2 linked regions of the Callithrix jacchus genome follow. The protein of the gene in region 1 interacts with the protein of each later gene in a pairwise test. Links are inferred from orthologs where the notes say so. Each region holds a gene or a part of one and is shown on either strand. Other genes may lie near its edges.

The links. The genes of interacting proteins can lie anywhere in the genome.
Region 2: the proteins of DUSP12 (region 1) and PPP2R3B interact in binary tests that used the Homo sapiens proteins (3 or more experiments, as listed by UniProt). The two-hybrid records come from large-scale screens. The link is inferred for Callithrix jacchus from reciprocal best matches to the Homo sapiens genes DUSP12 and PPP2R3B.

Annotation. Positions count from the first base shown.
Region 1 is NC_133519.1:21,594,642-21,598,280, forward strand, and holds part of DUSP12 (dual specificity protein phosphatase 12), read left to right. Parts: intron 1-5; coding exon 6-102; intron 103-826; coding exon 827-1,013; intron 1,014-3,639. UniProt on the Homo sapiens protein: Dual specificity phosphatase; can dephosphorylate both phosphotyrosine and phosphoserine or phosphothreonine residues. Can dephosphorylate glucokinase (in vitro).
Region 2 is NC_133524.1:734,247-738,221, reverse strand, and holds the end of PPP2R3B (serine/threonine-protein phosphatase 2A regulatory subunit B'' subunit beta), read left to right. Parts: intron 1-3,131; coding exon 3,132-3,282; 3' UTR 3,283-3,352; downstream 3,353-3,975. UniProt on the Homo sapiens protein: The B regulatory subunit might modulate substrate selectivity and catalytic activity, and might also direct the localization of the catalytic enzyme to a particular subcellular compartment.

The DNA.
Region 1 (3,639 bases):
TATAGAATTGCAGAATTTACCTCAAGAACTCTTTGCTGTTGACCCAACCACCGTTTTACAAGGATTGAAAGATGAGATTCTCTACAAGTGTAGAAAGTGCAGGTAAAATATTTTGTATCCTTTGGAGATTTTATCTTGTCTCAGTAGCTGAAAAGTACTTAGTGTTTTATTTTCTTAAATTACTGTAGGAAATTTTTGTTTATTTTTGTATCCTTTGGAGATTTTATCTTGTCTCAGTAGCTGAAAAGTACTTAGTGTTTTATTTTCTTAAATTACTGTAGGAAAATTTTGTTTAATTGAATAATACAGAAAGTTTTAGTTCAGATATGCTTTCAGGAAGAATATAAATTCTTAAAAATAGAAATAATAAGATTGTAGGGGTTACTGAAAATTTGAGTAACATAATTAGTGTTACATTATTTTGTCCTTTAAGAAATACTGCACACTTCACCAGGCATGGTGCCTCACGCCTGTAATCCCAGCAGTTTGGGAGGCCAAGGTGGGCGGATCACATGAGGTCAGGAGTTTGAGACCAGCCTGGCCAACATGGTAAAACCCCATCTCTACTAAAAATACAAAAATTAGCTGGGCGTGGTGGCAGGTGCCTGTAATTCCAGCTACTCAGGAGGCTGAGGTGGGAGAATTACTTGAACCCAGGAGGCAGAGGTTGCAGTCAGCCAAGATTTTGCCGTTGCACTCCAGCCTGGTCAACAGAGTGAGACTCTGTCGCAAAAAAAAAAAATTGAGAAAAAAAAAAGAAGTTGCACATTTCATCCATGTTTTCATCCTTTTGAAAGTCATTAATATTTGTGTTTGGGGGTTGCAGGCGATCATTATTTCGAAGTTCTAGTATTCTGGATCACCATGAAGGAAGTAGACCTATAGCCTTTGCCCACAAGAGAATGACACCATCTTTCAAGCTTACCGCAGGGAGGCAAGCTCAATGTACATCTTACTTCATTGAACCTGTACAGTGGATGGAATCTGCTTTGTTGGGAGTGATGGATGGACAGGTGAAAACACATTTTATTTTCTACAGTTTTATTGAATCATCTATATTTTATTCCTTCTTGCATTTTCAACTCTATTTTAACTAGTGTTTTACTCTATTTCTTAACTCCTTTATTTCTGAAGATTATATTTTTCTAGTGTAGATAAGACTATCAAAAATAAAATATTTTCCAAAAACCAGCTGATCCGAAATAGTGAATCACTTCTGATTGAGAACACTGGTCTAAGTTAATAAATTTCCTTTAAAGCTATTTATATTTTTTCAACTATAAGGCTAACATTTATTTTTAAGCTAATTAGAATATATTGGCTGGGCACGGTGGCTGATGCCTGTAAATCAGAGAACTTTGGGAGGCCAAGGCGAAGGATTGCTTAAGCCCAGGAGTTCAAGACCAGCTTGGGTAACATAGTGAGACCCCATCCCTGTAAAAGAAAGTAAAAAAATTTTAATTAAAAAAAAACATATGGCCGGGTGCGGTGGCTCACGCCTGTAATCCCAGCACTTTGGGAGGCTGAGGCGGGTGGATCATGAAGTCAAGAGATCGAGACCATCCTGGTCAACATGGTGAAACCCCGTCTCTACTAAAAAATACAAAAAATTAGCTGGGCATGGTGGCGCGTGCCTGTAATCCCAGCTACTCAGGAGGCTGAGGCAGGAGAATTGCCTGAACCCAGGAGGCAGAGGTTGCGGTGAGCTGAGATTGCGCCATGGCACTCCAGCCTGGGTAACGAGCAAAACTCCATCTCAAAAAAATAAATAAATAAATAACAACAACAACAATAAAAAAACGTGTATATATAAAAGAAAAAATATATTTAACAAAATTTGAACTTTGTAACAACAGTAGGGTAAATCAGGGATTTTAAAATTAGGTTAAAAGTTCTTTATTTTTCTCTGTTGGCTTCCTGTATGTGTCTCTCTCTTTTCTCTGATCTTTCCGGAAAGTGAAATTTAATATGTTTTGCTATGAGATTCTTTTTCATTTCCAGTTAAAGAATACAGCTCATCCTATTGCTCCTATAACCAGTGGGTGTGGAAAAAAAAGAAAGAAAGAATGCAGTTCATGTGACATCTTACATAAAAATGTGTTTAACTTGGTTGGAGTGCGCCATGACAGCCACATTTCTCCTTTAGGTTTATTTGATACTAATGTGAAGGTATTCTATAATAATAATCTTAATAATGATTTTGAATGTTTGTATGATTTGTATAAAAGTTTGTATAGTGGCTATTTTATGAAACCCTTTAACTATATCATTTGAAGAATGCCATAGCTTTATAAAATAGGTAGAGCAGTTATATTTACATTTTATGCATGAGGAAACTGTTTATCAGTTAGTGTCTTCCCTAGAAGGTGGTACCCTATGATCAAACTCACATTTTCAGATGATGCTGGTTTTTAAAAAAACCACCTTATTATAGTATAATTCACAGGACATACAATTTACCTATTTAAGGTGTACAATTCAGTGGTTTTTTAAAAGTGTATTCACAGTGTTTTTTGCAACCGCCATCATGTATTAGTCCATTTTCACACTGCTTTAAGATAGTATGTGAGACTGGGTAATTTATAAAGGAAAGGTTTAATTGACTCATGATTCTGCATGGCTGGGGAGGCCTCAGGAAACTTATAATCGTGTTGGAAGGGAAAGCAGGCCTCCTCTTCACAAGGCGGCAGGAGAGAGAAGCATGTGTGAAGGAGAAGCTATCACTTATAAAACCATTGGATCTTATAAAAACTAACTCACTATCGCAAGAACAGCATGGGGGAATCCGCCTCTATGATCCAGTCACCTCCCTTCCTCCACATGTGGGGATTACAATTTGAGATGAGATTTGGATGAGGACACAGGGCCAAACCTTATCACATTACCATTCACAGCACCCGAAAAATAATGTACACATTATCAGTCACTTCCCATTCTTTTTTTTTTTTGAGATGGAGTTTTGCTCTTGTGACCCTAGCTGGAGTGCAATGACGGGATCTTGGCTCACTGTAACCTCCACCTCCTGGGTTCAGGCAATTCTCCTGCCTCAGCCTCCTGAGTAGCTGGGATTACAGGCACGTGCCACCTTGGCCAGCTAATTTTTTGTATTTTTAATAGAGACGGGGTTTCACCATGTTGACCAGCATGGTCTCGATCTCTTGACCTCATGATCCACCCGCCTCGGCCTCCCAAAGTGCTGGGATTACAGGTGTGAGCCACTGCGCCTGGCCCTAACTTCCCATTCTTGATGGCATTATTTGTAGCAGTTAGAGTTTTTAATTTCGGTTATATCTAATTCATCAGTTTTTCTTTTTTGTGGCTTGTGATTTTGACTTTCTGATTTTATTTAACCTGGGAAACAAACACACACTCCAACCAAGTTAAATACATTTTTATGTAAGATTCTGAATCCTGTGCATACTTCTTTGTATACATAGTTGAATTTTTTTCTATAGAATATGTACCTAGAAGTGGAATTCCTGGTTCAAAGAAGGTGTGTTTTAAATATTAGTGATATTCTAGTACAATATCCAAAATACTCATATAAATTTGGGTTTCAGTAACAGAATGCATGTACCCCATATCCTTGACATGATAGATACTATACAACTGGTAATGTTTTGTCAACCTGTGGGGTAA
Region 2 (3,975 bases), on another chromosome or scaffold:
AGTGTGATTTGGGGGGCTGGGGGGTGAGTCAGGGTCTTGCTCTGTCACCAGGGCTGGAGTGCAGCGGTGGGATCTCACCTCACCTCCACCTCCCGGGCTCAGGTGATGCTCTCGTCCCGGCCTCCCGAGCACCTGGGACTGCAGGACTGTGTCTCCACACCCAGCTAGTTGTTTTAAGAGAGTCTTGCTGTGTTGCCCAGGCTGGCCTCAAACTCCTGGGCTCAAGGGATCCTCACTCCTCGGCCTCCCAAAGTGCTCGGGTGGCAAGTATGAGCCGCCGCGCCCGGCCGGCTGCTGTTTTTGCAATATCTGGGTCTGGCTTTGGTGTTGGGGTAATGCTGGCTCAGGGAATGGGGAGCAGTATGGTCTCCCCGTGTTCTCTGGAAGAGTGCGTAGCGCCGACCTGTTACTTCTCCCTCGATGTCTGGTAGAATTCACCAGTGACCCCGTGTGGGCCTCGGTTTCTCATTAAGTGCTCGATGGTGGCACCACGGAAGTTTCGGGTGTGTCGATGCCTGCGCCTCAACGTACAAACCCGTTACTAACGTCAGGGCAACATGTGCTCCCGTCTGTTCCCCCCAGAACTGTCGTTACCGGAATTTTCATGAATTTCCTGGACCTGTTTGGTGGAATTGGCCAGGGAAGCCGTTGGGAACGGCAGCTTTGTGAGAGGCTTTTAACTAAAAATCGAATTCAGCCGGTGCGGTGGCTCACGCCTCTAAATCCCAACACTGGGAGGCCGAGGCGGGCCGATCACGTGAGGTCGGGAGTTCAAAACCAGCCTGGGCAACATGGTGAAACCCCGTGTCTACTACAAGGACACAAAGTGAGCCGGGCGTGGTGGCACAGATGCCTGTGATCCCGGCGACTGGGAGGCGGACGCAGGAAAACTGCTTGAACCTGGGAGCTGTTGGCTGCCGTGAGCTGAGGTTGCACCATTGCACTCCAGCCTGGGAAATAAGAGCGAAACTCCATGTCTCAAAAAAGCAAAAGTGACGGTTATCAGAAGCTGGCTCAGGCCATGTCCGTGAGGTTTTGTTTTCTGGGGGGTCGCTGCGATGACAGGCCAGCGCCCCCACGCCCGGTAACTTTTGTGGAGATGGGGTTTAGGCTGGTCTTGAACACGTGAGCTCAAGGGTTCTGCCCGCCTCAGGCCCCAGAGTGTTGGGAAGAGCGGCCTGAGCCCCCGCACCCGCCCTAGAGGGAGCTTGGCCGGTTCCCGTGCTCCAGACCCTTGTGTGTTCACCCAAGTGATTTCGTCATCATCGGCGACGTTTCCTGCTTGTGGGTTTCACATCCGCAGCATCCACAGCGCTGGCGTGTCCCGCGGGCGCGATGCCCATTTCTGTTTCTCTGCATGAACAGTGGGGGTAAGGACGGTCGATTCGTCTTGTCACGGAACCACGAGTGCCACCGATTTTCTGTCTTGTCACGGAACCACGAGTGCCACCGATTTTCTGTCTTGTCACGGAACCACGAGTGCCACCGATTTTCTGTCTTGTCACGGAACCACGAGTGCCACCGATTTTCTGTCTTGTCACGGAACCACGAGTGCCACCGATTTTCTGTCTTGTCACGGAACCACGAGTGCCACCGATTTTCTGTCTTGTCACGGAACCACGAGTGCCACCGATTTTCTGTCTTGTCACGGAACCACGAGTGCCACTGATTTTCTGTTGCCTTTGTTCTGGTTTTCCTTCTGTTCTCCAGGTGCCTTCACGCGGCAGCCTGGGCCGCTGACCGAAGCCCTTTCCTCTCTTCTCAGTGGGCCCTGGGAGCGCGGCCGAGTCAGGCGTTGTCACTTACCGGCAGCTCAAAACACTCTATAGTTCCCGACCCACGGGCTCCACGGAGCTGCGTTCTAACCCTTGCGCCTCCCCAGACGCCCCTCCCATTCCTGCCGAGCTCCTGGGGCTCCCGCTGCGCCCCCCACACCCCCCGCCATCCGTGTGTCCCTGCTCCCCCTCCCCTTCCCCATTTTCATGCTCTCCGTCCTCCCATTCTGCTCCCCGTTTTCATGCTCCCCCCTCCCATTCTCCCACCCATTTTCATGCTCCCCCCTCCCATTGTCCTCCCCATTTTCATGCTCCCCCCTCCCATTCTCCTCTCCATTTTCATGCTCCCCGCTCCCATTTTGCTCCCCATTTTCATGGTCACCCTCCTCCGCCCATTCTCCTCCCCATTTTCATGCTCCCCCCTCCCATTCCCCTCCCCATTTTCCTGCTCCCCCTCCTCCCATTCTCCTGCTCCCCATTTTCATGCTCCCCCCTCCCATTCTCCTCCCCATTTTCATGCTCCCCACTCCCATTCTCCTGCTTCCCATTTTCGTGCTGCCCCTCCTCCCCCCATTCTCCCCATTCTCCTGCCCCCCATTTTCGTGCTGCCCCTCCTCCCCCCATTCTCCGCCTCCGTCCCCCTGCTCCCCACCTGACCAGTATCCACCGCCATCGCCGCCCAGCCCAGGTCTGCGGCACAGCCGGCCCCACGCTCAGGTAGCCACGTGCCACCTTCCGTGTCCGCTCCCGCGCTGGTTGGCCGCACTCTCGTCCATGGCCGGGAGTGACCGGGACCGTGGGGATCTCAGCGCCAGGCTTCCGGGGGGCATGTTGCAGAGCAGACGTGTCCACACCGGACCTCCGAGGGTCTGTGCGGCCGGTGGCCACGCCGGTGTCCCGGGGCACTGTCCTCTGTCACTGCGGATGGCTCACCGCGCGCGCATGTGCAGGCCTCGTGCTGCTGTGCGTTCTGGTCCCCGGGAGCCCGTGCGTGTGTTGGGACAATCCTAAGCCACGCGTGGCCGCGCCGTTTTTGAAACCGTGTCACATCCCGGGTTTTGTTCTGCCTTCCCGCGTGGACCCCGCAGAAACCTGTAAGCGCGTCCACGCAGGTCAGCGCTGCTCTGAGTCCCCGTCACGTGGCTTCGAGAAACGCGCGCCCCCGGATTCCTGCCCTGGGAAAGCCCCTGCGGGGACCTGGCGCCGGGGGTGTGACCGTCCTGTGACCACAGCCCCCTCCCCAGGGACCACTGGTGCAGGTGGCACCGCCGGCCGGGAGCGCACAGCTGGGTCGGCACCTGCAGCTCCAGGGCCCGCGGCGCCGCCAGACACGCCTTTGCCATCCCCTCGTTGCAGGTTCGAGGCCGAGCTCAGCCCTGTGGAGCAGAAGCTGAGTGCGCTGCGGTCGCCGCTGGCCCAGAGGCCCTTCTTCGAGGCGCCCTCGCCCCTGGGCGCCGTGGACCTGTACGAGTTCGCGTGCGGGGACGAGGACCTGCAGCCGCTGTAAAAACGTCCGCGTTGTGTTTTGTGGAAAACGAGTGCGTTTGTACCGAATGATAAATTTTTATTTATTCACACAGGCGCGGTGATTGCTGGCGCTGGGGGGGGTCTGGCTGCACCTGCCTGGGTGCGATGGGCCGGCCTGGGGGACACGAGGAGGAGACCCCAGGTGGCTACACCTGCCTGGGTGGGATGGGCCGGCCTGGGGGACACGAGGAGGAGACCCCGGGTGGCTACACCTGCCTGGGTGGGATGGGCCGGCCTGGGGGACACGAGGAGGAGACCCCGTGTGGCTGCACCTGCCTGGCTGGGATGGGCCGGCCTGGGGGACACGAGGAGAGGACACCCCGTGTGGCTGCACCTGCCTGGGTGCGATGGGCCGGCCTGGGGGACACGAGGAGGAGACCCCGGGTGGCTACACCTGCCTGGGTGGGATGGGCCGGCCTGGGGGACACGAGGAGGAGACCCCGTGTGGCTGCACCTGCCTGGGTGCGATGGGCCGGCCTGGGGGACACGAGGAGGAGACCCCGTGTGGCTGCACCTGCCTGGGTGCGATGGCCCGGCCTGGGGGACACGAGGAGGAGACCCCGTGTGGCTGCACCTGCCTGGCTGGGATGGGCCGGCCTGGGGGACACGAGGAGGAGACCCCGTGTGGGTTCCAGGCTGAGATGGCAGAGGCCTCCCTGGGGCCCTGGAAGGG